Macaca mulatta: one gene and its partner. The protein of the gene in region 1 interacts with the protein of each later gene in a biochemical or structural test. Links are inferred from orthologs where the notes say so. Each region holds a gene or a part of one and is shown on either strand. Other genes may lie near its edges.

Evidence for each region.
Region 2: the proteins of PKD1 (region 1) and HDAC9 form a complex in vitro, tested with the Homo sapiens proteins (2 studies listed by BioGRID, with this or other methods). The link is inferred for Macaca mulatta from reciprocal best matches to the Homo sapiens genes PKD1 and HDAC9.

Annotation. Positions count from the first base shown.
Region 1 is NC_133425.1:3,340,112-3,354,543, forward strand, and holds part of PKD1 (polycystin-1), read right to left. Parts: intron 8,590-14,432; coding exon 8,518-8,589; intron 8,397-8,517; coding exon 8,325-8,396; intron 8,055-8,324; coding exon 7,885-8,054; intron 7,698-7,884; coding exon 7,026-7,697; intron 6,907-7,025; coding exon 6,723-6,906; intron 6,289-6,722; coding exon 6,068-6,288; intron 5,893-6,067; coding exon 5,777-5,892; intron 5,367-5,776; coding exon 5,240-5,366; intron 4,884-5,239; coding exon 4,642-4,883; intron 4,177-4,641; coding exon 3,421-4,176; intron 2,513-3,420; coding exon 2,381-2,512; intron 1,979-2,380; coding exon 1,803-1,978; intron 1,493-1,802; coding exon 1,359-1,492; intron 881-1,358; coding exon 1-880. UniProt on the Homo sapiens protein: Component of a heteromeric calcium-permeable ion channel formed by PKD1 and PKD2 that is activated by interaction between PKD1 and a Wnt family member, such as WNT3A and WNT9B. Both PKD1 and PKD2 are required for channel activity.
Region 2 is NC_133408.1:110,193,983-110,208,514, reverse strand, and holds the start of HDAC9 (histone deacetylase 9), read left to right. Parts: upstream 1-7,900; 5' UTR 7,901-8,163; exon of another isoform or gene 8,164-8,336; intron 8,337-14,532. UniProt on the Homo sapiens protein: Responsible for the deacetylation of lysine residues on the N-terminal part of the core histones (H2A, H2B, H3 and H4).

The DNA of each region.
Region 1 (14,432 bases):
ACAAACTGCCTCTCTGGCTGCAGGGTGACGTTGCCCACCTCCGGCTCCACGCAGATGCTGGTGAAGTAATGCGCCTTGTTCACGGGGCTCGACAGCACGAGCGCCAGGGGGAACGTGCCGCTCCGCGTGAAGTTGTGCGTCACCGTAGGGCGCCCCCGCACGGTTGTGTTGGAGGAGCCGTCCCCAAAGGTCCAGTCAAAGAGGTAGTGGGCCGGGTTCCCAGTGACGTAGGCCGTGAGCCGCGCGTCGGGCTGCGTGGGGATGCAGGCAGCGGGCTCGATGCGTAGCACCTCCAGGACGAAGACCAGCACGTGCAGGCTCTGGGCCAGGCGGCCGGCAGGGCTGGCCGCACCCACGGTCACTGTACAGTTCTGCGCCCGCAGGTACACATGCTCCACTGTGTCCTCGGGGCCCGACAGCACGGTGCCGTCCCCCATGTCGAAGGTCCACGTGATGTCATCGCCAGTCTGCACCGCAGCGCTGACCACCACGGGGGCTCCCTGCTCCACGGCCAGGCTCATGTTCACACTGAGCCCGCGGAGCTCCTCAAAAACACGCACATCCGCCTGGGCCAGAGCGCTGCTCACTGTGTTGTTGACCTCCAGGTGCACGCGGTAGGTGCCCCTCGAGGCGTAGGTGTGGTTGGCAGTCGGCTGGCTCTGGGTCAGGACAGGGGAGCTGTCTCCGAAGTCCCACGTGTAAAGAACACCTCCAGGTGAGGGCAGCGGGTGCGGGTAGAAGGTGATGGGCCGGCCGGCCACCAGGACACTGTCGCTCACACCCACAGCCATGGAGGGCAGGGCCGCGCGCACGCTCACAGGCACCTGCTGCGTCAGGTTCTCGAAGGCATTGGACGTCAGCACGGTCAGGATGTACTCACCTGTGGGGATAGGCCCAAGTGGGGCGGCCGTGGCACCCCCACCCGCTCCCTACCCGCTTGGCAGAAGCTCCCGCCTGAGGAGCCCAGGGTGAACGGCTACACCTGCGGCCCAGCCCTAAGGGTCCCAGGCTCCCAGGCCACGTGCGGGATGGAGCACAGGTGCGGCAGCACTGAGAGCTGCCAGGTGAGGACAGTGCCACCTCCAAGTGCAGCTGCTCTCAGGGCAGCAGAGCAACAAGAGCCAGGCCCAGGGGGCAGTTCAGGGGGCCCAGCTTCCCCGTCCACTCCCCCCGATGCCTGGCCCCTTCCTCACCCCAGTAAGAGCCTAAGCCATCAGCCCAGGTGGAGTCACAGTGAGGGCTGCTGGGGAGGAAGGGGGGCTGCTGGGGAGGAAGGGGGGCAGCTTGACTGGGGGGTTGGGAGGTGCCCATGCTCAGGGCCTGAAAGGCAGCAGCCCTCTCACCCCCTCATCCCTCACCTGGGGCAGCGTAGGTGTGCGTGACATTGTGCTCCACCAGCACCTGGGCCACTGAGGGGTCTGGAACCGGGAAGGACTCGTTGTACGGAGGGTGGAACTGGCGGAGGGCCTGCTCCCCATCCCCAAAGGTCCACCTGCCAGGGCAGTGGGAGGCAGTGAGTGGACCAGGACAGAGGTGCGCGGTGGCAGGGCAGGGGTGCTTGGGACCCAGCCAAGGCTCCACCCTGCAGTCATGCCCTGGGCCTCTGTTCAGGGCCCACCAGGCTGGGCTGAGGCCTCTCCCCGCTCCCGTGCAGCCTCAGGGCTCCTGTGCACCCAGCACCTCCCAACAGACGGAAACCGAGGCTCAGAAAAGCAGCCCCCTGGCGTGGGGGCCCTCAGCTGAGACTGGGGCTGGGACAGGAGCCTGGTGCCCACCCCCCAACCGGCCCCCGAGTCACTCACAGGAAGGCCACCTCCACAGCCGAGTCCACCAGCACGCCTGCCGTCAGTGCCAGCGTGGCATTGGGGGGCAGCACGGCCGGCACTGTGGAGACCCACAGGCCCTGCATCCGGTTCATCCGCTCCACGGTGACATTGTAGTTCACAGTGACGTTGCTCACATGGTTGGAGGCCGTCAGCTGCAGGGACAGGCGTCAGTGGGCACAGGCGGCAGGTGAGAGGCCCGGCCCTGCTTGGCGTCCCTCCCTCCACTCACCCACAGCCACGGCAGCGTCCTCAGGCAGCAGAAAGCAGAGCAGAAAGCAGAGGTGAAGGTGAAGCCCGCCCCAACCCCATCAGGCCCCCCCATCCCCTCCCCTCCCCACGCCCCCGCCTATCCCTTCCCCACACCCCTGCCGCATCCCCTCCCCTCCCCATCTCCTCCCTTCCCCTCACACCCCCGCCCCATCCCCTCCCCTCCCCACGCCCCCGCCTATCCCTTCCCCACACCCCCCCCCCGCATCCCCTCCCCTCCCCATCTCCTCCCTTCCCCTCACACCCCCGCCCCATCCCCTCCCCTCCCCACCCCCCCGCCCACCTACTGAGAGCTTGAAGACCGCTGCGCTCTGATAAATGACATTGAAGACTACGTTCTGGAAGGTCAGGGACTGCTTGTCGTTGATGGTCCACCGGAAGACCACGTCCGAGCCGGCCTCCACCACGGGGCTGTACCTCTGCGGGGGGACTAGTGTCAGCCTGGACTCTGTGGAGGACCGCTCTGCCCTTGGCCTGTCGCCTCCTGGACACACCTCCCATTGGGCTGGAGAGTCCCACGCAGGGCACAGAGTGGAGGAGGTGCCCGGGGCTCTGCATGCCATGGGAGCCAAGCCTGGGCGGGGGCACTGACTATCCGGCTCTCCAACCAGCCACATTGTACTACTGATGCCTCAACCTCTCTGTGCCTCAGTTTCCCCATCTGTAAAGCAGACCTAGTACCAGCTACAAAGAGTCCCCCTCTCTCTGAGTCCTCTCAGACCCTCCTGGGGCTCCTGCCCCACCTCCTCAGCCAGAGAGCTCGGAGCAATGAAGGGAGACACACCGGCCTCACAGGGACAGGACCCACATCGGCTGACAGAACCCAGGACAGGCTGCACAGGTCATGCCAGGGCCATCAGAAACGGCCCCTCCCAAAGCCCCTGGTGCAGCGGCAGGCACCCACAGGACGGAGACAGCCCTGTCCCGCATGTGCCCAGCATGGTAGCACCGCAGGCAGCCCGCAGTTTCCCATCAGAGGTTCAGTCTTCACCTCAAAAGCCACTCGCTTTAGCCAGGCGAGAACACAGCAGAGGGTGTGACAGACTCACGGGGGTTCGCGTGAGGTCAGGGGGCGGAGTTTTAAATTCATTTCATGAAATGAGACAGTGGAATGTGTTAGCGGAGCCGCTGTCCGAGCTGTGACTTTCCAGGAATTTAGAGCCCACCAGGTAGCCTGAGGAGCCAGCCAGCAGGACCTGCCCAGGGCTGACGTCCCCAGTAACTGGGCTGCCGCTCTCACTAGGAAGCCAGGCCTCGCGCCCTGTGTGGGCACCCTGTCTGTGGGCACCTGCCTGGGGGCTGGCGGCAGAGCCTCAGCCGTACTCACCACTAGGACTCCCTGCAGCACACGAGCCTCAGGGCTGGGCGTGGCACGGAGGCCACAGATGGGCTCCTCCGCCGTCACCCGCAGGCTGAGGTTGGCCTGGCTGGCACTGTTTTCCGCCACAACCTCCACCACGTGCTCCCCCTCACTGAGCCACGGCAGTGCTACCACTGAGAACTGGGTATCGTTGGTCTCCCAGGGGCAGCCGGGCAGAAGGGTGGCCACCAGGGCAGGGCAGGCAGCCTCAAAGCGGGTGCTGACATTGCCCCCAGGCCAGCGAGCCGTGGCCGTGGCGTTGGCACCAGAGTCCACCTGGAGCACCAAGGCCGAGCCATTGGTGGGCACGTAGAGGTGGCCATTGTGGGGGGCAGGGTAGATGACCCGCAGCCCAGCCACTGGGGAGACCACGTTGAAGCTGCAGGACAGGTTATGCCTGGACACGCCATTGCCCACCTCTGCCCGGACCTCATAGCGCCCAGGCAGCCGCAGCCCAGGGTTGGGCCGCAGGCCCAGCAGCACGGTGAGCTGTTCCGTGGCTGCAAGCAGCCGCAGGGCACAGGCAGGGCAGTCCCGAGTGCCCTCCAGCTGGGCTGGCAAGTGGGGCAGCCAGGCCGAGGCGTTGGCAGAGAGGTACAGGGCCTGGGGGCCAGGGTGGCCGGGAGCCGGCGAGCAGTGCAGGAGGGCGCCAGGGCCAGCGTCGTGCTGCAAGCCAACGAGGTCACCAGGGAGCATGAGGACATCCTGGCCATGGAGGGTGACCTGTGGCAAGGGAGGCAGGGCTGCATCACGTCCTCGTGGTCATGGCCCGTGGACCCCTGCACAAGGGAGGAGGGGGGACAAGCAGGGCTCCCCACTTCATCAGCCAGGCCTCAGGGAACTCCCCACGGAGCTCATGACAGGGACAAGCAGGACAGCTGCGGACAGGGGAACACACGGGGAGAGGACACAGGCCAAGATCTGGCAGGCAGGAAGGAGCAGCTGTGCCAGGAGAGGGGACAAGGAAGCACAGCACGTGCCAAGAGCCCAGGCGAGAGCTTCTCCCATTGGGAGAGGGGCAAGAGCACTGCAGAGGTCGGAGGTTGGAGGTCAGAGGTTGGAAGTGGCAGGGACATGGGAGTAGCCTGCAGGCTGGGTGTGTCGGGTGAGCAGACCCAGACCTTGGGCAGCAGACAGGAAGGTGGCCTGAGGAGATGCAGGGGACAGACTCAGGTCAGGGCCACACACCGAATACTGCGCGGGGGGCCCCGCAGGAACGGAGAAGAGGAACTCTCTCCATAGCGCATAGAGGGCCCCGGGCAGCCCCGGCCCTGACGTGCAGCCATTGGCCTGGGGATGGCAGGAGGCGTCCAGCGGCACGCAGACATTGGCTGCAGGGCACCAGCGTCCCCCTGGCATGCACTCGGGGACCAGCTGGGTCCTGTTGTCCGGGGACCTGCTCTCAGGTTCGCTGCCGTTCTCTGGGGTCCCTGCGAGGAAGGGAGGGTTGTTGGGGCCCTGATTCGCCCACCGGCCACCGTCAGAGATGCCCACCTGCCTGCACCGGCAAGCCTGGCTTTGCTGTGAGAACAGGTCTCCCCGCCTGGGCAGCACTCCCAGACCAGTGCTGTGTCCCTGCCTCCGGCCAGCCGACTGACCCAGGCCGGCCCCCAGGCAGGCCCGACCCGATCCATCCCTGGGACACCTGGAACGAGCTGGTGTCTCTGGAACCCCAGCTCTGTCCACCAGAGACAGGGGACCGCTCTGGTGGCCACGGGACCAGCAGACGTGAGAGCTCAAAGAGGCCACCCCGAGCCCTGCGGTGCCCACCACCCCAGAGTCCCACCTGCCGTGCTGAGGAGCCGGTACACCTGCAGTCGCAGCTGGGCAGGCCGCCGGAGCTCCTGGGTCCCAAATTCGGCTGTGGTGAGGAAGGCTTCGTGGCTCAGACTCAGGCCCGGGAATACCATGACCTGGAGGGTAGGGGGCCGCCTCAGCTCCACAAACTCCACCCCAGCCTGAGGCCCAGACTCCCCTGACCCAAACTTCCCCAGAAAGAGGGGAAGGAAGGGAAGTGAGCCTTCAGACCCCCACATGCCATGCTCCTGTCGCTCACGAGGAAGACTCCGATGGAAACTGTCCATGGGCAGCAGGACCCCGACCTGCCTTTCAGGAATAACTCGCAAACACTCAGAGAAAAGGCCTGGGGGTAACGTGAGTCAACACTTTCCTCTCTGCACTCTGGGTTTTCCCAACCATCTTCACTAGGCCCAAGCAGCATTAAGGCCCCCAAGATTTTTAGCGATGCCCACAGTGGGCAGGGCAGGCAAGGCCTCCAGGGGCAAGCAGGAGAGTGGGTTCTAGAACGCAGAGGGCCAACTACCTCCACGGGCTCGTGCGGGGCTGAGAGGCCATCCTGCGGTGTCAGAGGCGTCAGGGGTCCCTGCAGGTCCCCACTAGGTGCTCCCACGAGGAGGTTCTCGGCATCCTGCACTGGGCCTGGGGTGGTGAGTGCGCAGTGAGGCGTCGGGCCAGGGCCCAGGACACCAGGGCCAACAGACTGGGGACTGAGCAGCCCGAGAGCTCCCACCAGCTCCTCCACCTCCACCGTGGGCCCTCGGCAGACCCCTAACCATAGCCAGTGTCTCAGGACCCCCGCCTGGCCCCTGCACACCTCCAGGCCGCAGTTCGCAGACGTAGCTGTGTGGCGCTGAGCACAGGTCGGTGTTGCACCACCCGGTAGGCCCGAGCCGGACGCAGTGCTCAGCTGTGGCTGGGTGTGGCTCCCCGGGCAGCCAGTTCTGGCAGCTCTCCAGGCTGAAGGCCTCGCCCTGCGGCGCCAGGCCCGTCTCCGCCCCCTGCACAGTCGAGAAGCCGATCCACACGTCCAGGCTCCTGTGGGCGAGTGTGGGATGGCAGGGGGCTCAGGGCACTCCTCCATCCTCCTACCCTCACAGTAGCCCGTCCAGAGCCCCATCACTGTCCCCCTTTCCAGATGGGGAAACTGAGGCTCAGAGCCCAGAGAGCAAGGCCCACCAGCCCAGGCTCACAGCAGCACCCACTCATGGGGCCTGTGGGCACCGGCAGGGATCTCCGTGCAGGCCACCTCCCATGTGGCGTGCCCCAGGAGGGTCCAGAGGCTGTCCCCAGCTCACGTCAGTCTCTGTATCTGCAGAGCTGACGCAACGGCCCTGCCGGCCGGCGCCATCTCCTCACCAGGGCCGGCCCAGCTCCCGTCTGTCTCCACCTAAGCCTCCCCAGCCGTGGGCTCTGCCCCAGTGTTTTGGAGATCCCCCAACCTCTGGCCCCTCAGGGGTGGGGACAGGCACCTGGTAACCCGGGAGACCAGGAAGCGCTGCACGGCGGGACTGTCCACCATGGCCAGGGCGGCCCCAGCCCAGGCCCGGCACTGCTCCTGTGCCTGCAGCCAGGCTGCCTTCTCCACCACCAGGCGGTAGCAGTGCCCGTTGCCAGGGAAGATCTCCGTGTCCGAGGGGCAAAGCGGGTGCACCACTGGAGACCAGTGGGAATGAGAGTGTCAGTGGTCAGTGTGGGCCTAAGATGGGGGTACCAGGCTCTGCCCCACCCAGATGGCCCTGGGGAGGAAGGGGAGGTGGGCAGGAGGCACTCACCTCGGGCCAGCTCCTCACCCAGGGCCACGATGCTATAGGCAGCCTCCAGGCCTGAACCGCCACGGTTCTGGATGCTGAGTTTGAGGCTCTCGTCACTCTGCACCGAGGACGGGCACACGAGCTCCAGGGCAGCAGGTGCCGCTTCCACCTGCACGTTTGTCCCCAGCAGGGCTGAGCTGACCCCCAGGGCCACCACTGCCGTCACATGATAGCGCCCAGGCAGCACATAGCGGTGCGAGGCAGCCGGGCCAGCGGCATCCACCTCGGGGGAGCCATCTCCGAAGTCCCAGCATGTGGCAGTGACAGGGAGCGGGGCAGCGATGTGGAAGGCTGCTAGCTGGCCAGAGGCCAGGGGTCCATGGGGCCCCACCAGGGCAGCCCCTGGGGAGGCAGGGAAGACATGCTGGAGGAGGGTTGGGCCCCCACAGTCGAGCGCAGGAGGCGGCGGGGGGCCAGAGCAGAAGGACAGGCAGGCGAAGGAGGCACTGGAGGGCTGGGCTGCCCCACACAGGCACCAGCCCTGCTCCGAGAGGGCCGCAAGGCCCCGGCCAGTGGAGAAGCAGAAAGCACTGCAGGCCTCTGGCTGAAGTAGGCCTTCGTGGGCAGCTGAAAAGGCCACTGCTGCCACAGTGCCTGAGCTGTTGTCAGGGAGGCAGGCGATATACTCCTCACCTAGAAGAGGCAGCCGCTAGACCCTGGGTTCCCCTCCTCCTGGCTCCACCCCATGCCCCCCATCCACCCGCCACACTCACAGGCTCCCATGCTGCTCTCTTGGCCCGGAGGCCCTCCCAGGTGTCTGCAGGGCCCAGGTCCCACCTGGCTGGGAGCAACAGAGCTGGCCCCACCCACTAGCACTCACCACAGTCACTGTCCAGCAAGGGGATGCCGAGCAGAGGCTGGCCAGCCAGGGAGCCAGGCCCAGCACACGTGGCCGCCTCGGGCTGCACCACCCGCACTTGCTGCTCCTCTGCCCATCGCGGCAGCCACACCAGGCCACAGTCACACTCAAACGGGTTCCCACTCAGGTTTCTGCAAGGCAGGGGCAGGAGTTGGGGACCAGGTCTGGTGGGAAGGGTCTACACCAGCCCCTTACCGGCAACCAGGCCCTGGAGCCACGCTGACAGCACCGCCTCCCCTGCCCCAACCAAGCCGGCCCTGGGGGGCTCCAAGCAGGCAGTGAACTGCCCCCAGGATCTGGTCTCAAGCCTGGAATGGGACACAGACCAACTGGGAGGGCAGAAGGGATGCTGGGGGCCTGGGGTCCAGCCACTGACACCCACCCAAAGAACCACAACTTACATTTCACTTAAATTAAATAAATTAGCAAATATTCCTTCTTCTAGCGTAGAAATCTTGTTGTTGCTTATATCCCTGGAAGAGAAGGGGGATTCGGCAAAGCTGATGGAAGCCCCCACAGCCGAGCAGCAAGAGGCGGTGCCGCCGGCCCATCTGGGATGAACCCTGCATGCTGGCGAGGCTGGGGGACACTCACAGCTCTGACAGTTGCGAGAGGTTCGCCAGGAGCCCGACGTCCAGCGCCCGGAGCAAGTTATGGGAGACGTCTCTGAGGAGTGAGTGGCAGTGGGTCAGGGCCAGAGCCCCTAGTAGGCCAGGCCATCCCTGGGCCCACCCCACACACTTTTAGCAACCCCAAGCTATGGCCTCCCACCCTTGAGCTCCCCACTCCCTGAGGTCAGGAGGGGTCTTTCTGATGGAAGACCCAAATGAACGCTCATCTGGGGAAACCAAGCCAGGAGAGGCCTGGGGGCCTCAGCCCTCTGTACCCATCGCAGCCCTATGCCGAGTGCCACACAGACCTGTCCACCCAGGGCCAGGATGGGCACAGACCCCCAACCCATCCCATGCAGGGCCAAGGTCCTGCAATTTCTTGTCCACAGTCGCCCCCAAGAGCCAAGGCCCCCTGTCCCCTGTCCACAGACCCTCCATAGAGCCAAGGACTCCCATCTCCTGTCCACAGTCCCCCCCAGAGCCAAGGCCTCCCAACCCTGTCCACAGCCCCTACACAGACCCAAGGGCCCCCATCTCCTGCTCCTAACCCAGCAGGGTGGTCCCACTGTGGGACCACAACCAGGTATGAATGTGTGAGAAGCAGGCTCACTACCAGGCTACCAGGGAGCACAGGGAGCAGGCACCATCTTGAGGCATAAACCCAGGAGAAACGAGACATCCAAGATGGCCGGGCACGGTGGCGCACGCCGGTAACCCAGCACCGTGGGAGCTGAGACGGGAGGATCGCTTGAGCCCAGGATTTAGAAACTACCCTGGGCAACACAGTGAGACCCCATATCTACAAAAAATACGTATCAGCCAGGCATGGTGGCATGCGCCTGGGGTCCCAAACACTCGGGAGGCGGAGGTGAGACAAATCGCTTGAGCCCAGAGAGGTCAAGGCTGCAGTGAGCTGAGATCGCATCACTGTACCATAGCCTGGGTGAAAGGGCGAGACTCTACCTCAAAAATAAATAAATAATAAATAAATAAAACATCAAAGACCAGCAGACCTAACTCCATCTAAAATATACAACTTCTACACAAAATATAAATAAAATCAGAAAACAAACTACAAGTTGAGAAAAGCACTAGCAACTTAGATGACATATTGAAGGCCAAAAATACTCTCCCAACACAGCTAAGAACGAAAAAGTCAACTATTCCAGTTAAAAAGAAGAAAAGGAATTTGGGTGTGGTGACTTATGCCTGTAATCCCAGTGCTTTGAGAGGCAGAGTAGGGAGGACTGCTTGAGGCCAGGAGTTTGAGACCAGGCTGGGCAGCATAGCAAGACCCCATCTCTACAACGAAAAAAAGAGAATCAGCCAGGCATGGTGGTGTATAGTTGTAGTTCCAACTACTCGGGGCGCTGAGGCGGGAGGATCGCTTGAGCCAGGGAGGTCGAGGCTGCAGTGAGCTCTGATTGTGCCACTGCAGTCCAGTCTGGGTGACAGAGCAAGACCCGGTCTTGAAAGAAAAAGAAAAAAAAGAGGTCGGGCACGGTGGCTCACGCCTGTAATCCCAGCACTTTGGGAGGCTGAGGTGGGTGGATCACGAGATCGAGAGATCGAGACCATCCTGGCCAACAGGGTGAAACCCCATCTCTACTAAAAATACAAAAATTAGCCGCGCGTGGTGGTGGGGGCCTGTAGTCCCAGCCACTCGGGAGGCTGAGGCAGGAGAATCACATGAACCCCAGAGGCGGAGCTTGCAGTGAGCCAAGATCACACCACTGCACTCCAGCCTGGGCGACAGAGCGAGACTCCATCTCAAAAAAAAAAAAAGAAAAGAAAGGAAAGAAAGGGAGGACAGAGAGAGAGAAGAGAAGGGGAAGGGGAAGGAGAAAGGGAAGGGGAAGGGGAAGGGGCCGGGTGCGGTGGCTTCTGCCGGTAATCCCAACACTTTGGGAGGCTGAGGTGGGTGGATCACGAGATCAAGAGATCAAGACCATCCTGACCAACAGGGTGAAACCCCGTCTCTACTAAAAATACAAAAATTAGATGGGCATGGTGGTTGGCGCCTGTAGTCCCAGCCACTCAGGAGGCTGAGGCAGGAGAATCACGTGAACCCGGGAGGCCGAGGTTGCAGTGAGCCGAGATCACACCACTGCACTCCAGCCTGGGCAAAAGAGAGAGACTCCGTCTCAAAAAAAAAAAAAAGAAAAGAAAAGAAAACAAAAAAAGAAAGGAAAGAAACAGAGGACAGAGAGAGAGGAGAGAAGAGAAGGAAAAGGGGAAGGGGAAGGAGCCAGGTGCGGTGGCTCCCACCCGTAATCCCAGCACTTTGAGAGGCTAAGGCAGGCGGATCACCTGAGGTCAGGAGTTCAAGACCAGACTGACCAACATGGAGACACCCCATCTTTACTAAAAATACAGAATTAGCTGGGTGTGGTGGTGGGCACCTGTAATCCCAGCTACTCGGGAGGCTGAGGCAGGAGAATCACTTGAACCCAGGAGGCAGAGGTTGCAGTGAGCTGAGATTGTGCCACTGCACTCCAACACTCCATCCTGAACAATAAGAGTGAAGCTCCATCTCAAAAAAAAAAAAAAAAGAAAAGAAAAGAAAAAGAAAAAAGGAGGGAGGGAGGAAAAAAAGGAAAACTAAAAAAAAAAAAAAAACCCAAAAAAAACAGGCAATGAAAAGAAGCACAATTGGTCACAGCTGTGGGAAAGACAGTCCATGTCAGTAGTCAGTGGAGAAAAAGCAACAGAAACCACAGGGCGGCAGCATGTCTCTCTTTTCAGAGCTGCCTGAGTACAAACCAGGTCCTGGTGCTGGTGACAAGCAGGTGAGAAGCCAGAGAGCCAGGGCAAACCGAGAACTCCATGTTCCCTCGGCCTCAGGCACCTCCGGGGTCACCATGTTGCCCACCCTGGGTGCCCCTCCTGGTCCCACGCACTCCCAGTAGTGCACCTGGCACAGGGACTGTGGCTCCCTCCCCAGCTCTGCACGCCAACCCCTTGCTCCCCAGGCCCCCAAGGCCTAGCCGCCTGCCATGGGCCTCTACTTCCCCAGGTGTCACCCTCCCCACACGTGACCCAGCAGGTGCCTCCGCCCAGACCTGCTCTTCCCAGCAATGACCACCTGGCAGCCAGGCCTAAGGTAGGGTGGCCTCCATTCCTGAATGCCCGCCCGGCCCCTGCCAGCCTCCAGCCCTGCTTATCGGAGCTCCACTCCCATAGCAGCCTACCCTGGCCCAGGAGAGACGCACACACAGGCTGCCCGGAGGGACCCGGGGCCAGGGCAGGGGCTTCAGAGGGGAACCAACAAAGGGGACCAGAGGCCACCCCAGCTGAGGGGGACAGAGCAGACGAGGCCATCTCCATGCCAGGAAGCAGCACCAGCCACTGACGGTGGAGCTGGGCCCTGACCCGGGCTGGGTGTCCAGATAGACGAGGTGCTGGGCACCCGGCTCCCGGAGCTTCTCATTCCATCTGCAGATGGGGGGCATGCTTGGGGGTGCAGCTCCCTTCCCCCACAGGCTCTGGGACACTCAGAGAGCCTGTGCCAGTGCCCTGGGCTCCAGGAAGGGAGAGGATCTGGGGGCCAGGCACACAGGGAATGGCCCCTCTGGCAGGGCCACCGTTTTCCCCCTAACTGAACTCAGCTTCTCTGCCGTCCCCTCCTCTACACCAAGGTGGGGACATGGGCTGAGGTGCTCCTCACTGCCCGTAAGGACGGGGGTGCCCACAGCCGCACTGCTGGGTGTCCACAGCATCCCACTGTGGGATGGGACAGGCCAGCGACTGGAAGACCAGCAAGAGGCCATTCTCGAGACAGGGTGAGGCAGCCAGACTCCCACTCATTGCCCAAGCATCATGCCCGAGGGGGACACTGTGCCATGAGGAACGGCAGTTAGACCTGAGGAGGGACTTGCCAGCGGCTGCAGCGGCAGCAGAACCAACGCTTCAGGGAGAAATGAGGCAGCAGCTCTAGGGGGCAAGGGGTGCTGCAGAGGCCACGGTGAACACAGGCAGGCCCCCTGGAAGGGACACAGCTGTGAAACAGCCCTGGGGAGGGGGCACAGGCTCTCACACCTGCCCCTAGGCATGGGGAGCAGCTCCCACAAAGGCCACAGGAGGAAGGAAAGAAGAAAAAGCCTGAAAATGTTTGGCCACATCCCATTTTCTGGAAAATCCATCAAGAATGGCTGCTGCTGGGAGCTGACAAGCCAGGGCAGGCATGGGGTCAGGTCAGCCGAGGACCCCAGAGCCCACCCGCTCCCCGCCCACCCCACTGCGGACCAGGCCTGGGGTGCCATGGACACTTCTTCCACGCCAGCAGGCAGCCTCGCCTGTCACGGGTGCTGGCCACACACTCCCTGCATGCCAGGCTCTGGGCTGGCTCCTTCTCCCGGCCCTCACCCCGGCCCACGGCCCAGAAACACAGCAAGGCTTTGGGGACTCCGCTCAGCCAAGCTCCCAGAGCCCAGGACAGCAGAACCAAGCTGCAGCCCAGACACGAGCCAGATGCAGCCCCCCATGGTGTGCAAGCATCTGCCCTGGGCAGGACTCAGGTGTGGGCTTCAGGAACAGGGATGGGCACAGGGGTCCCTGTGGAGTCCTCACCCCGCTTGCTCCCGTACTTTTCCACATCTCCATCTGCTTTTGCCATCGCTGTTCTGGGGGAACGCCAAGGCCTAGACAGGCGGCCTCGCGCCAGCCCCCCACCCCGCCCCTCAGGCTTCCTCTGCACCCGCCAGGTGACATCATCACCACTGTCTGATGCCCTGCCCCCACATTCTGGTTCCCTGCAAGGATGGAGGACACAGCAGGGCCCGGGCATCTGGCAGCAGGACCACGGGGTGGCCCTAAGCCCAGGCAAGAACACAGAGTGGAGTGCAGGGTCCTCTGGAGTCCCAAGGCCTTGCTGCCCCACATACCCCTCGCCCCAGTTCCTGCTGTTAGCTGGAAGGGTGGGAGCCAGGTGCACAGGGACGGCCTGATGGGTGACCGAGGGCCAGGATGTGCTCCCAGGTAAGCTGAGAGCGGGCTTGTTGAGAGAAGCGCACCCCCATGGGGGGCAGGACAGTGCTCCAGCCCCAGGACACGAGGGGCCCCCAGCGCTGAGTGTCTGATCTGGAAGGCAGGAGGAGTTAGGACCATCCTAGCGTAGGACCCAGCAGACTCCTTAGCGGCTGCTGGGGCACCATTAGGTGGAGAAGGAAGTCCCAGGTATGTGGCCACAGTGGGGGCTTCACCCCTTCCCAGCACCATCCTGGAGCAGGAACAGGAACAGCAGAGGATGTGGCCAGGCCTGGAGGCTGCCCCTCCACACCCCTGTCGCAGGTGGGGCCACGTCCCAGGGCTGTGGGCAGCGGGGCCAGCCTGCCAGCCCAAGGTAGGTGACACGTGTCTCATGCTGCAGCGGGTCTGCCCGCCACCCAGGCGTGTGAACCCCAGGTCAGGCCCCCTGGCCCTGGAGTGTGGGCCCCTCAGGCATGTTCCCAGCCGGGCGCCGGCTCTCCTGCCTTCCCCTAGGCTCTGCCCACAGTTGGCGCGAGGGTGGGTGAAGCCTGAGGCTGGCAGGGCCGGGAAGTCTTGGGGCTGGGCCTTCCGCCCCGCAGGCGCTCCTGGGCAGGAGGAGCCGTGGTCGGGGCTCGCAACAGTGGGGCTGAGAACTTCCCTGGGTGTGGGGCAGCCCCCAGGGCCCTCCCAATTCACAGCAGAGGGAATGGCCACGGACAAATCGGACCCGCCTCAGAGCCCCACACTCAGAGCTGACTGCCCCAGGTGCCCACTCCCCAGACCAGATGCTAAGTGGGGTCTGGGGGCCAGACGGAGCCCCCAAAGAAACATCTGCACATTCCAGACGCATGTGGTCAGCAGCAGGCGTGCGCCAGGCCCGGCACCCCCACCCGCGCTGGCTGCCTCACTGGAAACTGGGCTGGGGGGACC
Region 2 (14,532 bases), on another chromosome or scaffold:
TCTTTAAATTTTTTATTTGACCCATTGGTTGTTAAGGAGCATGTTGTTGAATTTTCATGTATTTGTGAATTTTCTAAAATTCTTCCTGGTTATTGATTTCTGGTTTAATTCCATTGTGGTTAGAAAAGATACTTGGTATGATTTCAATTTTAAATTTGTTAAGATTTGTTTAGGGGTCTATACTGTATGATCTATTCTTGTCTAGGCCACTAAACAAGTTTCATGTGCACTTAAGAAGAATATGCATTCTCCTGGTGTTAGATGGCATATTCTGTAATGTCTATTAGGCCTATTTGATCTAAAGTGTAGTTTGAATCCAACATATTCTTCTTGCTTTTCTGCCTGGATAATCTGTCCATTGCTGAAAGTGGTATTTTTATATTACAGCTTATCTCTTCCTTCAAAACTATTAAAATTTGCTTTACATATCTAGGTGCTTTGATGTTGTGTGCATATATATTTATAATTGTTATATACTGTTGATGAATTAACCCCTTTATCATTATATAATGACCTTCTTTGTTTATTTTATCTGATATAAGCATAGCTACCTCTGGTATCGTATTAATAAAGACATCCTGAGGCTTGGTAATTTATAAAGGAAAGAGGTTTAATTGATTCACAGTTCAGCAGGACTGGGGAGCCCTCAGGAAACTTACAATCATGGCAGAAGGGGAAGCAAACATGTCCTTCTTCACATGGTGGCAGCAAGAAGTGCCAAGCAAAAGGGGAAAAAGCCCCTTATAAAACTATCAGACCTCGTGAGAACTCACCCACTATCATGAGAACAACAGCATGGGAGTAGCCACCCCCAAGATTCAATTACTTCCCACCAGGCCCCTGCCAGGACACGTGGGGATTATGGTAACTACATTCAAAGTGAGATTTGGGTGGGGACACAGCCAAACCATATCAGCTATCTTTTGGTTTCAAGTTGCATGGAATTTGTTTTTTTCATCCTTTCATTTTAATCTGTGTGTATCCTTAAAGGTGAAAGGGGTCTCTTCTAGCCAGTGTGTAGTTGGGCCTATTTGTTAATACACTTTCTGTCTTTTGATTGGATAATTAATCCATTTACATTCAAGGTAATTATTGATAGGTATGGACTCATTATTGTCATTTTGTTATTTTTTTCTTTGGTTGTTTTGTGGATCCTTTGTTCCTTTGTTCCTCTCTTACTGTCTTCCTTTGTGATTAGGTGATTTTGTTTAGTGGTATGCTTTGTTCTTTACTTTTTATCTTTAATGTATCTACTGTAGGTTTTTGCTTTGTGGTTACCACAAGGCTTATATAAAATATAACAGGCTACTTTAAGATGATAATTATTTAATTTTTATTGCATAGAAAAACTCAATACTTTTATTTTACCCATTTTATGTTAAAAAACTTTTCACTCTGAGTAAAGAATGTTGATATTTTATGTTTTGATGTTTGAATCTACATCTTTTTATATTGTGCATATCTTAGCAAATTATTGTAGCTATTGTTATTTTTAATAGTGTTGTATTTTAACCTTTATACTAAATATAAATGATCTGCACACCACTATTACAGGATTAGAATATTCTGAATTTGACCCTGTGCTTACTTTTACCAGTGAATTTTATACTTTCATACATATTTTTCTTACTAATTAGAGTCCTTTTCTTCAGCTTGAAGAAATCTCTTTAGCATTTCTTGTAAGGCAGTTCTGGTGGTATAAACTCTGGGAAGCCTTTATTTCTCCTTCATTTCTAAAGAATAACTTTGCTGAATATCAGTAGTCTTAATTGGCAGGATTTCTATTTTTTTTTTCTTCAGCATCATGAATACATAATCCCACTTTCTCCTGGCTTATAAGGTTTCTGCTGAGAAATACACTGCTAGCCTTTTTAAAACTCCTCTATGTGTGATATGCTTATTCTCTTGCTGCTTTCAGGATCCTCCCTTTGTCTTTATTTTTTGACAGTTTGATTTTAATGTGTCTTGGTGTAGTCCCATTTGGATCGAATCTGATTGGAGACTTTTGACCTTCCCATACAGTGATATTTATATCTTTCACTAGATTATATCTTTCACCAAAACCTTGCCTTTACTAGAAATACAAAAATTAGCTGGGCATGGTGGCAGGTACCTGTAATCCCAGCTACTTGGGAGGCTGAGGCATATCTAGGTGCTTTGATGTTGTGTGCATATATATTTATAATTGTTATATACTGTTGATGAATTAACCCCTTTATCATTACATAATGACCTTCTTTGTTTATTTTATCTGATATAAGCATAGCTACCTCTGATATCGTATTAATAAAGACATCCTGAGGCTGGGTAATTTATAAAGGAAAGAGGTTTAATTGATTCACAGTTCAGCAGGACTGGGGAGCAGAGGACCAGGAGGCAGAGGTTGCAGTGAGCTGAGATCGCGCCACTGCACTCCAACCTGGATGACAGAGTGAGATTTCCTCTCAAAAGAAAAAAATAATAGTAATTTTTCTGGCCCTTTATCTCTTTTCTCTCCCTCTCGAAATGGTATAATTCAAATATTTTCTCTTTTGATGCTTTCCCATAAATCATGTAAGCTTTCTTTATTCCTTTAATTTTTTTTTCTGTTTTCTCCTCTTATTTACATATTCTCCTCTTATATATTTTCAAATAACCTGTCTTCCAGTTCACAGATTCTTTTTCTTCATCAATTTTACTGTTGATGCTCTCTATTGTATTTTTTATATCATTCACTACATTTTTCAGCTCTAGGATTTGATTTTTAAAGATAATTTTGATCTCTATTAAATTTCTCATTTCATCATTTATCATTGAATTATTTCTCCATATTTCCTTCAAGTTTACTAAGTTTCCGTAAAACAGTTATTTTGAATTCTTTGTAAATCATTTCATAGATCTCAATTTCTTTAGGATTAGTTAGCACTTTATTTTCCTTGTTTGGTGGTGTCATGTTTCCCTGATTTTTCTTGAACCTTATTGGTATGTGTTGGTGTCTGTTAATTTGAATAAACAGGGACTTATTACAATCTTTGCAGACACACTTTATCTGGAAAACCTTTTACCAGTCAGTCTGTCTAGAGATTCTGGGCATGCTATCTGGTGTGGTTCACAGGTAGAGTTACTGCTGGATTTCCCAGGGAGCCTGCCCTGGTGCCCAGGTCTACGGGGTTGTACCTGGGGTCTGCATCCACTGGGGTGGACATGTTGATTGAGTCCATGGGAGTATGCCTACAGCCTGTGTCCATGGGATCCTGCCCAAATCCTGGGTCTATAGGGGCTGACCTAGTTCTGCTGTGTGCTTTGAGCTTCAATCTACAGGGGATGGGCAGGCACTAAGATGGGGCTGGAAACTGGCCTGCACTGGGGTTGCCCTGGAGGCTGAGTCTGCAGGGGCAGGCCTAGGTCCTGGGTCCACCATGGCCAGTCTGGAGCCTGGGTCGGCAGGGTTGGTTCTGCAGTCTCGGTCCATGAGGTCTGGCCTGACATTGGGGTCTACTGGGGTGAGTTTGGACTCTGGGTCTACTGGATCCTGCATCTCTGGGTTATAGCCTGGAAGCAAGGATCATGGGTGTTGGCTTGGTACTTGAAGCCATGAAAGCTAGCCTGGAGCTTGGGGTCTATCAGGATAGGCCTAGACCCAAGGTCTGTTGAAGCAGGCCTGAACTGTGGGTTCACTGGCATATAGGGCCACAGCAGGTGGCCTGGGGGGTGTATTTTTGTGCATGTATAGTTGTTCAGATCGATGTTTCTGCAGGAGTACAAGCATTAGAAAGTCTTATTCACCATTTTGCTGACATCCAGATCCTATAAACTTTCTTAAGGGGAAAAATTATGTTTAATCCTATTCTTACACTTCACATGTATTAAGAACCTACTATGCTGAGGGCTCTGTGCTGATCTTTGGAAATAAAAAGTGAATGACTAAGAATTCCAAATAAATTATGTAGATACTCTGCCCTAAAAGAAGAGGCCATATCTCTACTCCTTAAGTGTGGGCTGCACATAGTGACTTCCTCTCAGAGAATATAGTATGTAAAGGGGAAAAAGAGAGTAAATTTACAGTGGAGAAACCTAACAAACATTACCTCAGCCAGGCGATTAAGATTATCATCAACAGTGACAAATCATGTTGCCTAGTATGTACCCTTGATATAATGTAATGAAAACAAAACTTTATAATCTTCCTTTCCAAAATCCATAACTTTATTTTTACCATGAGAAAAACATTAGACAAATTACTACAGAGGGGTATCCTACAATATATCTGACTGGAATTCCTCAAAACCGTCAAGGTCATAAAAAACAAGGAAAGTCTGAGGAAGTGCCATAGCCAGAAGCCTAAAAAGACATGATCACTAAATATATTGTGGTCTCCTAGATGGGATCCTTAAACACAAAAAGCACATTAGTAAAAGCTAAAAAAAAAAAACTCTGATAAACTATGGACCTCAGTTAATAATTTACCAATACCAGTTCAGTAATTGTAGAAAATGTATCATACTAAAGAAAGATGACAATAGCAGGAGAAATTGTGTGTGTGTGTGTGTGTATTGTTCTCTATACAGTTGACCATTGAATAACACAGGTTGGAACTACATGGATACACTTATATGCACATTTTCTTTCACCTTGACCACCCTTGAGACACAAGATGAACCTTTCCTCTTCCTCTTCCTCCTCAGCCTATTCAGCAGGAAGATGAAGAGGATGAAGACATTTATGATGATTCACTTCCACTTAATGAATAATAAATATGTTTTCCTTATGATTTTCATAATAAACTTTTCTTTTCTCTACTTTATTGTTTGACTACAGTATATAATACATATAGCATACAAAATGTGTGTTAATTGTTAATGTTTTGAGAAGGCTTCTGGTCAGCAGTAGGCTATTAGTAGTTTTTAAAGAGTTAAAAGTTATATGTGGATTTTCAACTTTGCAGGGGGTCTGCTCTCCTAATCACTGTGTTACTCAAGGCTTAGTGTACTATCTTCTGAATTCCTCTGTAAATCTGAAACTGAAGGAAAAATAGTCTATTAAAAAACTACAAAAAAGTGAATGAGTAATCTTTGTCCTCTTACAGCTCAGCTGACAAGAGACTAAAACCAGGAAAAAATTATAATATAGTGTCATATATGCAACAATATAGGTTTGAACAGAGAACTTGCCAACCCAACCAAAACTTTTAAGATAAATTATCTTTTCAAGTCAGTCATAATTTAAAATATTTGAGTCTCTAGTAGCACCCAGCATGTATCTTACTCAAACTCAGCATTCAAATATCTAGCAGAATGATGACGAGGACTGCTCCCATTTGTGAAATGACCTGCACATGGGATACTTAAATAATTAGACTTAAGTGAAGGTTAACTATGCATGGTATCACCACCCTAAAAGGTGAAAGTAAGTTTCAATTCAAATTTTGCCATATACATCTTTATTACACAAAATCTGTTTTAGATGCCCAGTGAAATCCCAGGGACATTTCCTTTTATGTGCTTCAACCACACTTTACATGAAAGGTTTCTTGAGAGACAACAGAGAGAGTTCCTTTAGAGTCAATTGTAGGCAAACAGAATCATTAAAAAAAAAAAAATCAGCCTAGGCACTATACTCTGCCCTAAAAGAAGAGGCCATAGCTCTAATTCTTAAGTGTGGGCTGCACATAATGACTTCCTCTCAGAGAATATAGTATGTAAAGGGGAAAAAAAGAGTAAATTTACAGTGGAGAAACCTGATCAACATTACCTCAGCCAGGTGAGCCAGATGAGTAAGGCCTCATCTCTAAAAAAGTTAGTCCCAGATACTACTTGGGAGGCTAGAGGATCACTTGAGCCCAGGTCAAGGCTGTAGTGAGCCCTGATGGTGCAGCTGCACTCCAGCCTGGGTGACAGAGCAAGACCCTATCTCAAAATACAAAACAAAACAAAACAAAAAATCCCCACAAAAACCAAAAACCAAAAAAACCCCCAAAACCTCCAAAAACTTAAAGGCTGGACACTTCACCATTTCTTCATTTTGAAAGGTAAAGGGTGAAAGGTCATGAAATAGTTATATCTGGCATATATACAAATCAGAAATATCTCTACTTGAGTCAATACCATCAATTTCATCCATGAAATGAGAACCCATTACTAAGATTCATCATGCTAATGAACAGAATCCTCAGTGTGGACAGAAAGTTAAGCAGAAGCTCTAGCACCAACAGTCTTTGGAGTACGACCTTTATTATTTTTTATTTTTAAATTTTTATTTAAAGCTAGCCGACCACTCCTGCAGTGTGAATTCTTGATCAGGGCAAAGGGAGGGATAAATCTAGCAGTCATACACTTTTATCCTCCTAAGAAGGCTTAACTATTTTAAAAGTACAGATACCATACCACTCCTTTTCTCGAGTTATCTTGCTATTATGAAATTGGTAGTCTGGCTTTATTCCTGAGGTTTTTGTTTGTTTGTTTGTTTGAAATGGGGGTTTCACTTTGTTGCCCAGGGTGGTTTCGAACTCCTGGGCTCGAGCAATCCTCCAGCCTCGGCTTCCCAAAGTACTGGGGTTATATTATAGGCTTGAGCTACTGGACCTAGGCCCTAATCCTAAATTTTAATCTGAACTCTGCCACTGTGAGACCTTGGGCAAATCACACTACTCCCATGGATCCCAGTTCTCTCCTCTGAAAATGAGGGCACTGGGTTAGGTCTTTCTTGCTCTTTCCATCCATGTAATTCATCTATGAGCTAGCTGTGTTTTAGCTGACGTAGAGGAAAACCATAAATATAAAAGCAGAGACACCAGCTTTAATTCGTTTGACGGTCAAATTACATACACCATAAATATTAGCCTCATTGAGTGATCAACTGTTAGCTTTAGCCAAGTATGTTTAGGATTACACTTAAAAAATATTTTAGTGTTGTACGCTTCATAAAGGAATCCACAACTACTAGTGATGCTAGTATAGACTTCAGTTATAGCAGAAAAAAAATCCCCAAGGTAAGAATACTAACCACTGAAGGAGATCACCTCGTTAATTCTTGACCCTTCTAACTCTGCTTGCCTTCTTTCAGGGTTGGTTTCAGAGCGAATGGTCCTCTCTGTTCAGCCTTAAAACACGGCAAACCTAAGTCATGTTTCCAACAGCAGTCACCATATTCCCTCACGTTTCCCATTTGAAAAACCCCAAATGTAGCATTTTTTTTTCTCTTAAAATTCCCTTGAATGATTCTTTAAGCTCCAGGCATCTGTGGGGATGTTCCAGGTACCGCCCCACAATGCTACCTCCTCTTCTTAAAAAGAAGTCGCTCAGCTGGGGCGGGATGGCGCTGCGCGGCGCGCACCTGAGCGGCCGGGGCTCCCTGAGTCACGGAGGGCGCGACAGCGGCCGGGCTTCTCCCCAGCACCGTTCTCTGTCACGGCCGCCGCCTGACCAACACCCCGCTCCTCGCGTAGGCATGTCTCGCTTCAGAAACCCCAAGTCGCCTTACGCTCCCTGGTCCTTCCCCTGCGGGGGAAAAAAACGCTAGTGCAGCCCGGAGCTCTCTTCCGCTCCACCCTGCGCTGCCCTTGCTGCCCTCCTGCCTCCCGCGCGTCCTTCCCCGCGCGTCGGCCGCGCGCCCAGGTGTTCCCGCGCCTGTAATCCCCTCCGGCCCGCGCCTCCCGGCCCGCCCTGTGGGTCTCCAGCGCCTGGGCCCGCGCTCTCGCCGCGGGTCCTTCCTCCTTTCCCCACCCAGCCCCGCCCAACCCCCGCCGCGCTGGGGCTCCCGGCCGAGCCTCTCCTCCCACCTCCGTCCCCCACTTCCCTCCCCAAGAAGTGCTATTTTTAGCAAATCCTCCGCGCGCCGCCACCCGCTCAGCTCGCAGCTCGCAGCCGCCCGCTGCCGCCCTCCTGAGCTCCCCCCGCGCGGCGGCGGCGGCGGCGCGTCCCGCACATCGCGCAGCGCGCACCAAGCCGGCCGCGCCGCGCCCGCCGCTCTCTCCGCGGTCTCCTCCTCTAGTGCCCGCCGCGGCCGGTAAATCTCGGCTGGAGGAGCAGCGGCGGTCCCCGAGTCAACTTTCATTCCCCTTTTGCTTCTGCCTCACCATTCTCTTCTCCTCCTCGAAAGATGGCTGTTTGGAGAAGGGGGAGAAGTTAGGAGGTCGCCGGCGCGGAGCGAAGGAGGGCGCGACAGCCTCAGCAGGGGCGGGCGGAGGTGAGTGGCACCACGGCCGAGTCCCCGGCTGGTGCTCGAGGAAAGCCCTGGGAATTGGGGGCCACCGGTCCTCAGGATGCGCCGCGGTATTCCCTGCTCGGGTTCCGCAGGTTAACAGCATCTCAGTCCGGACTCTGATGCCACTTGCCTCGCATCTCGCAGCCCGGAGACCGGTGGGTTTAACGGAACCTTTGTCAGAAGTTGGGTGCTAGGTTATCTTTGTGTACAGACCCTGACATTTGGCAAACCGAGGGGAGCGGCCGGTGGCGTGATTCTCTCCCGCCCCCAAACACACCCAGTTTATGTTGGAGCCGAGCTATGAATGAAAAGTTTGTACTGGCAACGTGTTGCTTGAGGGGAGCAACGCTTATTGGGGGGTACCTTTGATGTTTCCTGGGGGACTTCAGTTTTAAGTCAATACATCAGAATCCTGGGTTTTAAGAAAAGTTCAAGAGGCTGGAGGATGGGAGATAAAGCAGTTCCTTGGCTAGTGGAAGGAGAGTGATGAATCGTAAGCTTATTAAGGTTAACTGGCTAATTAGATGCCATACGAGGGTGTCACAGCGGGGACTAAAAGGAGCAGAGGACGGGGGCGTTCCCTGAGCGCCTAGCAGGCTGCGTTTGTTTGGCTTTGAAGCCGTCACCCACTTGTCCGCAGTGAGAGGTGCTGGTGTCAGGCCTGTGTGTCTGTGATGTGACAGAGCGGGACCCAGCTCTCTCCAGATCCGAGGCGCGGTTGTCAGGAGAGGTGGCCTGCGATAGAGAGCTGAGGATGTAGTTCCCGTGATGTGGACTTGGAGAATTCTCTAGTAAGTCTCCTATGCTCCAATTTCAGGAAGATCTGTCAATTGTTTTTTTCTTCCAGGGAGGTGTGTGTAATCTCCTAAAAGGAACTTTCAGCTTTAAGTAACTGTAGCATTTTGAAATCATGTGAGAAATGAGATATCTACATATATTCATTATTACATGTATGTGGGGAGTGTATGTGTGTGTAAAATATGGGAAAGGGGTAAGAAAGGCTTAAAAAGTTTAACTTCTACCCGAAAGGAAAGCGAAGAGTTAATTCTTTTCTCCCCAAATGGTATAACAATGCATATACAACTAAATACTCTTGCTGTGCTGAGATTTCTCATAAGGAGTAAGATTTAGCAATTACAAGTATTCAGAGCGCTGTCATGTTTTCAAATCTTGCAGGCACTATTGAAATCTGGAAAAGGGGAGTACATACATAGAGAACCCATATTAAAGGAAAAAAAATTTAAAATCTTCCAAAAGAAAACCTTTTGACATTTGAAAAGGCCTGGATGTTATTTTCCGATGCTCCAGAAATCTTTCTAATCCTGTAATTAACAACAGCACAGAATAAGTTGCATTTAATAAATTAGAAATCATGTTTAAAGGATATCTTTTGAACTTCTCTTTGGTACTTTTGATATTTATTATGGAAATTATTGTGATTGAAAATTTGTTGTTTAATATATTTGCCTTTTACCACAGATAATTAGTCCTCCTTATCCTTTTAAACCACTGTTCCAGTTTGGACTAATTTAATTCCCCAAACATCAAATTACTGATGTTCCTTCTGGAAACCATTTATATTTAAAATGGCTAATAAGAATATTGTATTTCCGAAACAACGTAATTTAGTCAGTTGTAAAACTTGCTTCTAATTTGTTCTCATCCATTTCGTTTGAATGGGGCACATTTGAAGAAGAGCAGCGTTTTCTTAGAATATGCCATTTTCTGTGTGGGAAAAAGCTAGTGTTTTCATATACGTTTTAGCTATTAAACAGAGGCATGTAAGGTGGGAATCCTGTCTGGCCTTTCATAAACTGCCAGCCAGAGGGAGAGAGATGCTTTCTTAGCTCTGCTCGTGAATTGATTATCTTTACTACAGAATGGACATGATTAGATGCACATAAGGTTGTGCAGAAGGAAGTTAAGAGTTTTAAATTAAATACCAGTTTATGGGTAGGAGACAGAATTTTTTTTTTTTTTTTAACCTTGATCTTCCTGTTTCTTTCCTTCTGCAGTTCAGCCTGTTGGACTGGTCTTTATTGGAGAGTCAGACCAGCACTCTGAGTAGAGAGTGTTTAGCACACTAAACTGCCATCTTCTGTAAAAATAATGATGGCTCTTTTGCAATTAAAAGATAATTTTATACATGGTTATAGATTTTTGTGATTGGTGACCAAATTAACTATAACCGTTATTATAGTAGAAAGAGTTTTATGAAGTTATTGCCACTATATATAAATAATTATATATTTAAGATATGGATGAACTCTATTTGAGGTTTAGGAGTTTTGAATGTTAAGGCCAGCTGACCAGATAAAAACCTATTTAATTAACTAATTTGAACGACACCAGAATTCAGATTTTTATTAATATCTACATCTAGGTTTATGTAGCTTTCCTTTCTTTTTATTAGAATTACTTCTTTTTTGAATTTGTTTAAATATTACAACATATTACATTATAATTTGTACACGCTCAGTGGGGAAGGTGCAGGTTATTCTTAAATAGAGATGTGGAGAATTAGCTAACAAGGAGAGTCATTTGAGAAACATATGGACATCATAAAATCCTTCTGTATGTAGCATCTGTACCTTCTCATTAGTGAAATATTGTAGTTATGGACATTTTTTGTTATTACATCCAAATGTGGCTTTTTATTTTTGCTTCATTGGTTTTTTTTGTTTTAAAATGTAATTTGTATTACTGTTTAAGTTGGTGGGGGCTTTTACTGCTTGAAGCCTTTTGCTTTCAATAGTTATCATACTTAATTTTTACTGCATGCATCTGCAGATATATACAATTGTTTCCCAGTTTGTTATTATAATTCTTACACTTTTTGGTGATTCCTCAAAACATTTGAGAGATAGGTAGGATGACATATAGTTCTCATTTTAGGAAGGAGGCAGCAGGTACACTGATATACCCAACATTACACAATAGTGAATCAGTGTGAAGCTAAGTGTAACATCTATATTTCCTGTATTTTAATGATGAAAGCAAGCTGCTCCTGTATCTTATGATAACTTCATAAATTTATGTATTTCCAGATTTTTAAAGTGGTCATCTTTATATATGTGCAGATCAGATTTTAAATCAGTCAATATAATCATAAGGGGATGGATCATACTGTTGGCCTGTTGATGGGAGAGAACCATGACTCTAATAGCTACTGCTGAAATAAACAAACAAGCGCACACACCTCTGTAGAATATTTGTTCTTGCAGTCAATCCATAGTCCACATATTTCTCTGCCCCTGCTGGCCTCACCCTATCAACTACCTACTGCCACTCTACTGATCAAAGCAGCCCTTGAAGTTTATCAGCACAGTTGTCAAGCTTGAGGATCATTAGCCTCACTAGCAAGAAAAGTCAGAACCTGATTTTTGGGAAGAGAGAGTATTGATGGGGACAGTAATGGAGTGTCCACTCCAGAGGCAGCCAGTAATGGTCAGAGATCATATTCTGGGTGTCGGGATGTCCATTTCTCTCATCAGCTCTGTGTCTTTGGCCGAACTTACAGATATCAAAGTGAACAGAAGGTTTATGGAATTATCTAGTCATTTCTGTCCATGTAGACCTCATATCCGAGTAAATCAGACTTTTTTAAAAAAGAAAATGGACAGAAACTTGTTGTTTTTCTACATCTCACCAAATCTCCTCTCCTTCAAACCCCACTAGAATTTTTTTTAGGATAATTGCCCACATGATTTGTAACAGCCAAAGTGATAGACTTCTGATATTGCATTATTACAATTAACAGTGGAATATATTATCTAGCTTGCAGAAGGAAGCATTGTAATTCTGTAGAAAATGGTAATATGTAATCTCATGCAAGTATTTTTGAATAAGCAGACAGTACCAAGAGCTCTCTATTAAGCTAATATATTTATTTTTACTCTTCCTTTCCCTAAATGTACGGTTTATAGGAGCTCATCCAAATCATTAAGTATCAACTACTGAAAAAAAGTTCATATGTGGTTTCCTGTTTACTACGATGAATTTTGTTTAGAGCTTCAAAGAGAGGAAAACTACTATCTATTGTTTGCTGCACCAGAGAGAGTATAATGTGTTGCTGGTGAGCATGAGGAGCGCTGAGGTTGCTGGAAATGGTACTTTCTTCACATCTCTGCAGAACCTGTGATAAGAAGGAGATGGGTGTGGACTGGTTTAGTTCTAGTACAACAGTGATGAGTGGAATTTGAAGTGGAACTGAAAGAAGGGTAAGATTTGGATAGTCTGTGTGTCACTCAAGGTATTCAGTAGCAAGTCATGGAAACTAACTTTAGTTAATATAAACATTAAATAAATTTATAAGAGGATATTAACCTTGTTTTCTCTTGCTGTGTAACACATTTCCACAAATTTAGCTGCTTAACACAACACCCCTTTATCATATCAGTTTCATTGCTCAGAAGTCCACACATAGCTTAACTAGGTCCTCTGGCCAGAGATCTCCTGTGTTGGCTAGGGCTGCAATCTCAACAGAAGATCAATGGGAAAAGATCCACTTTCAAGCTTTTTTCTCTTTGGCAGAATTTATCTCATCATGGCTTTAGAACTGAGGCTTCCATTTTCTTGCTGGCTGTCAGCCAGAGGCTACCCTTAACTCTTAGAGGCTGCTGTTATTCTTTGCCATGTGGCCCTCTCATAGGCACTGTTACAACATGGCAGCTTACTTTTTTTAAAGCTGGCAAGGAAATCTCTCTTGCTCCAGTCTGATAAGAAAGAGTCTTATATACTATAATATAATAGTGAGAGAGTGACATAAGACTATACAAGGGCATGACTCCTTGGAGGTCAGCTTAGGATGTGTCCACCACATTGACTAGCTCATAGAATCTCTGGTATGGGGTGGGCACAGTGGCTCATGCCGGTAATCCCAGCACTTTGGCAGGCCAAGGTGGATGAATCGTTTGAGTCCAGGAGTTCAAGATCAGCCTGGACAACATGGCGCAACCCTGTCACTACAAAAAAAAAAAAAAAAAAAAACACAGAAAAAATTACCTGGCCATGATGGTGTGTGCCTGAAGTCCCAGCTAGTTGGAAGGCTGAGGTGGGAGGATCACGAGTCTGGGAATTTGAGGCTGTAGTGAGCCATGATTGTGCCACCATGCTCCAGCCTGGGCAGTACAGAAAAACCCTATTTTTTTTTTTTAAAAGAACCTCTGGTATAGTCCGCAGACTTGACTTTGAAGCCACTCAAGTAGAAACAAGGCTCCAAATCCCTCTGCAGAATTTGTCCTGTGAGGTAGTGCTGCTGTCGCTGTTGGCATATAGCTTCTACAGTGGAATGTGGGCTCCATATCATAAAAGAGAGGATTCTCCACATATAATAATGGGGTCCCATTGTCCCTTGCGAAAAAGAATGACAGGTGTCCACTGCTGAGGGAAAGAAGAAAAAATGATTGCTTAATGAAATGTTTGAGTTTTTGGCCAGGATAGGCATGATAACCTTCTAGAGATGGGATTGAATTGGAAAGTGGCTGAAGTCATGTGACTCCTTGGAAGAGAAAACTCTTCCGGAATTTAGGAGAATAATGGTAATGAGGGTTCATTTATGAGTGGTGGTGATAAGAAAGGAGTAGAAAACCTTTGAAAGATGAATCACTACACATACATTAGTCTGGGTATTGACTTAATTAGTCCCTAAATATATGCCATGCATGAAAGACTTTTAAGAGACTGATTCCACTAATCCTTGCAGGGAACCAGCCCTGTGACTTGGAGGCCTGCAGTGTGGTCTACCCTCATTTTATAGAAAGGAGCAGAGCTAAAGGACCATTGTACTATATTTGTGGCCCAGTGACTATGGGGTGCTATGTAGGGGGTTGGGGGACTATTGAACATACCCTGTGCTCTAAGCACTTTGCCAGACATATTTTAACTATTTTGTATCTCAAACTCTGGCAGTTTAGTTTATATTTCCCTAGTTCTGCCTCCCTTCTCCCCTGGCAGGTGTGTGGAGACTTTGAAAGGCTAAATACTTTGCCAAGGGTTGTTCAGCTAGGGGTGGCATTAGGTTTTGAATCCAGGTCTGATTCCAGAGCCTAAAGTCTTGTAGTACACATCCCATACTCAAAAGCAGTAAGTGAAGTTTCCAGGGAGAAAGCCTGTTACTCACATTGAAGTGGATGTCAGTGCTACAATTGCTGTTGGGTTCCATCATTCACCTTGAGAGAACTGGATACTGCAAGATGAGGGTTAAAGAGAGGAGTGAGAGAGTGCGCTGTACCATGCCTTCTTTTATTTTCTCAGCAGGAAGTACATATTATAGGTCTCTCTCAGATCTAAAAGTAAGAATAGGGAGTAGAGGCTATGCATTTTTATTTCTACTTATCATTTTGGTTAAAA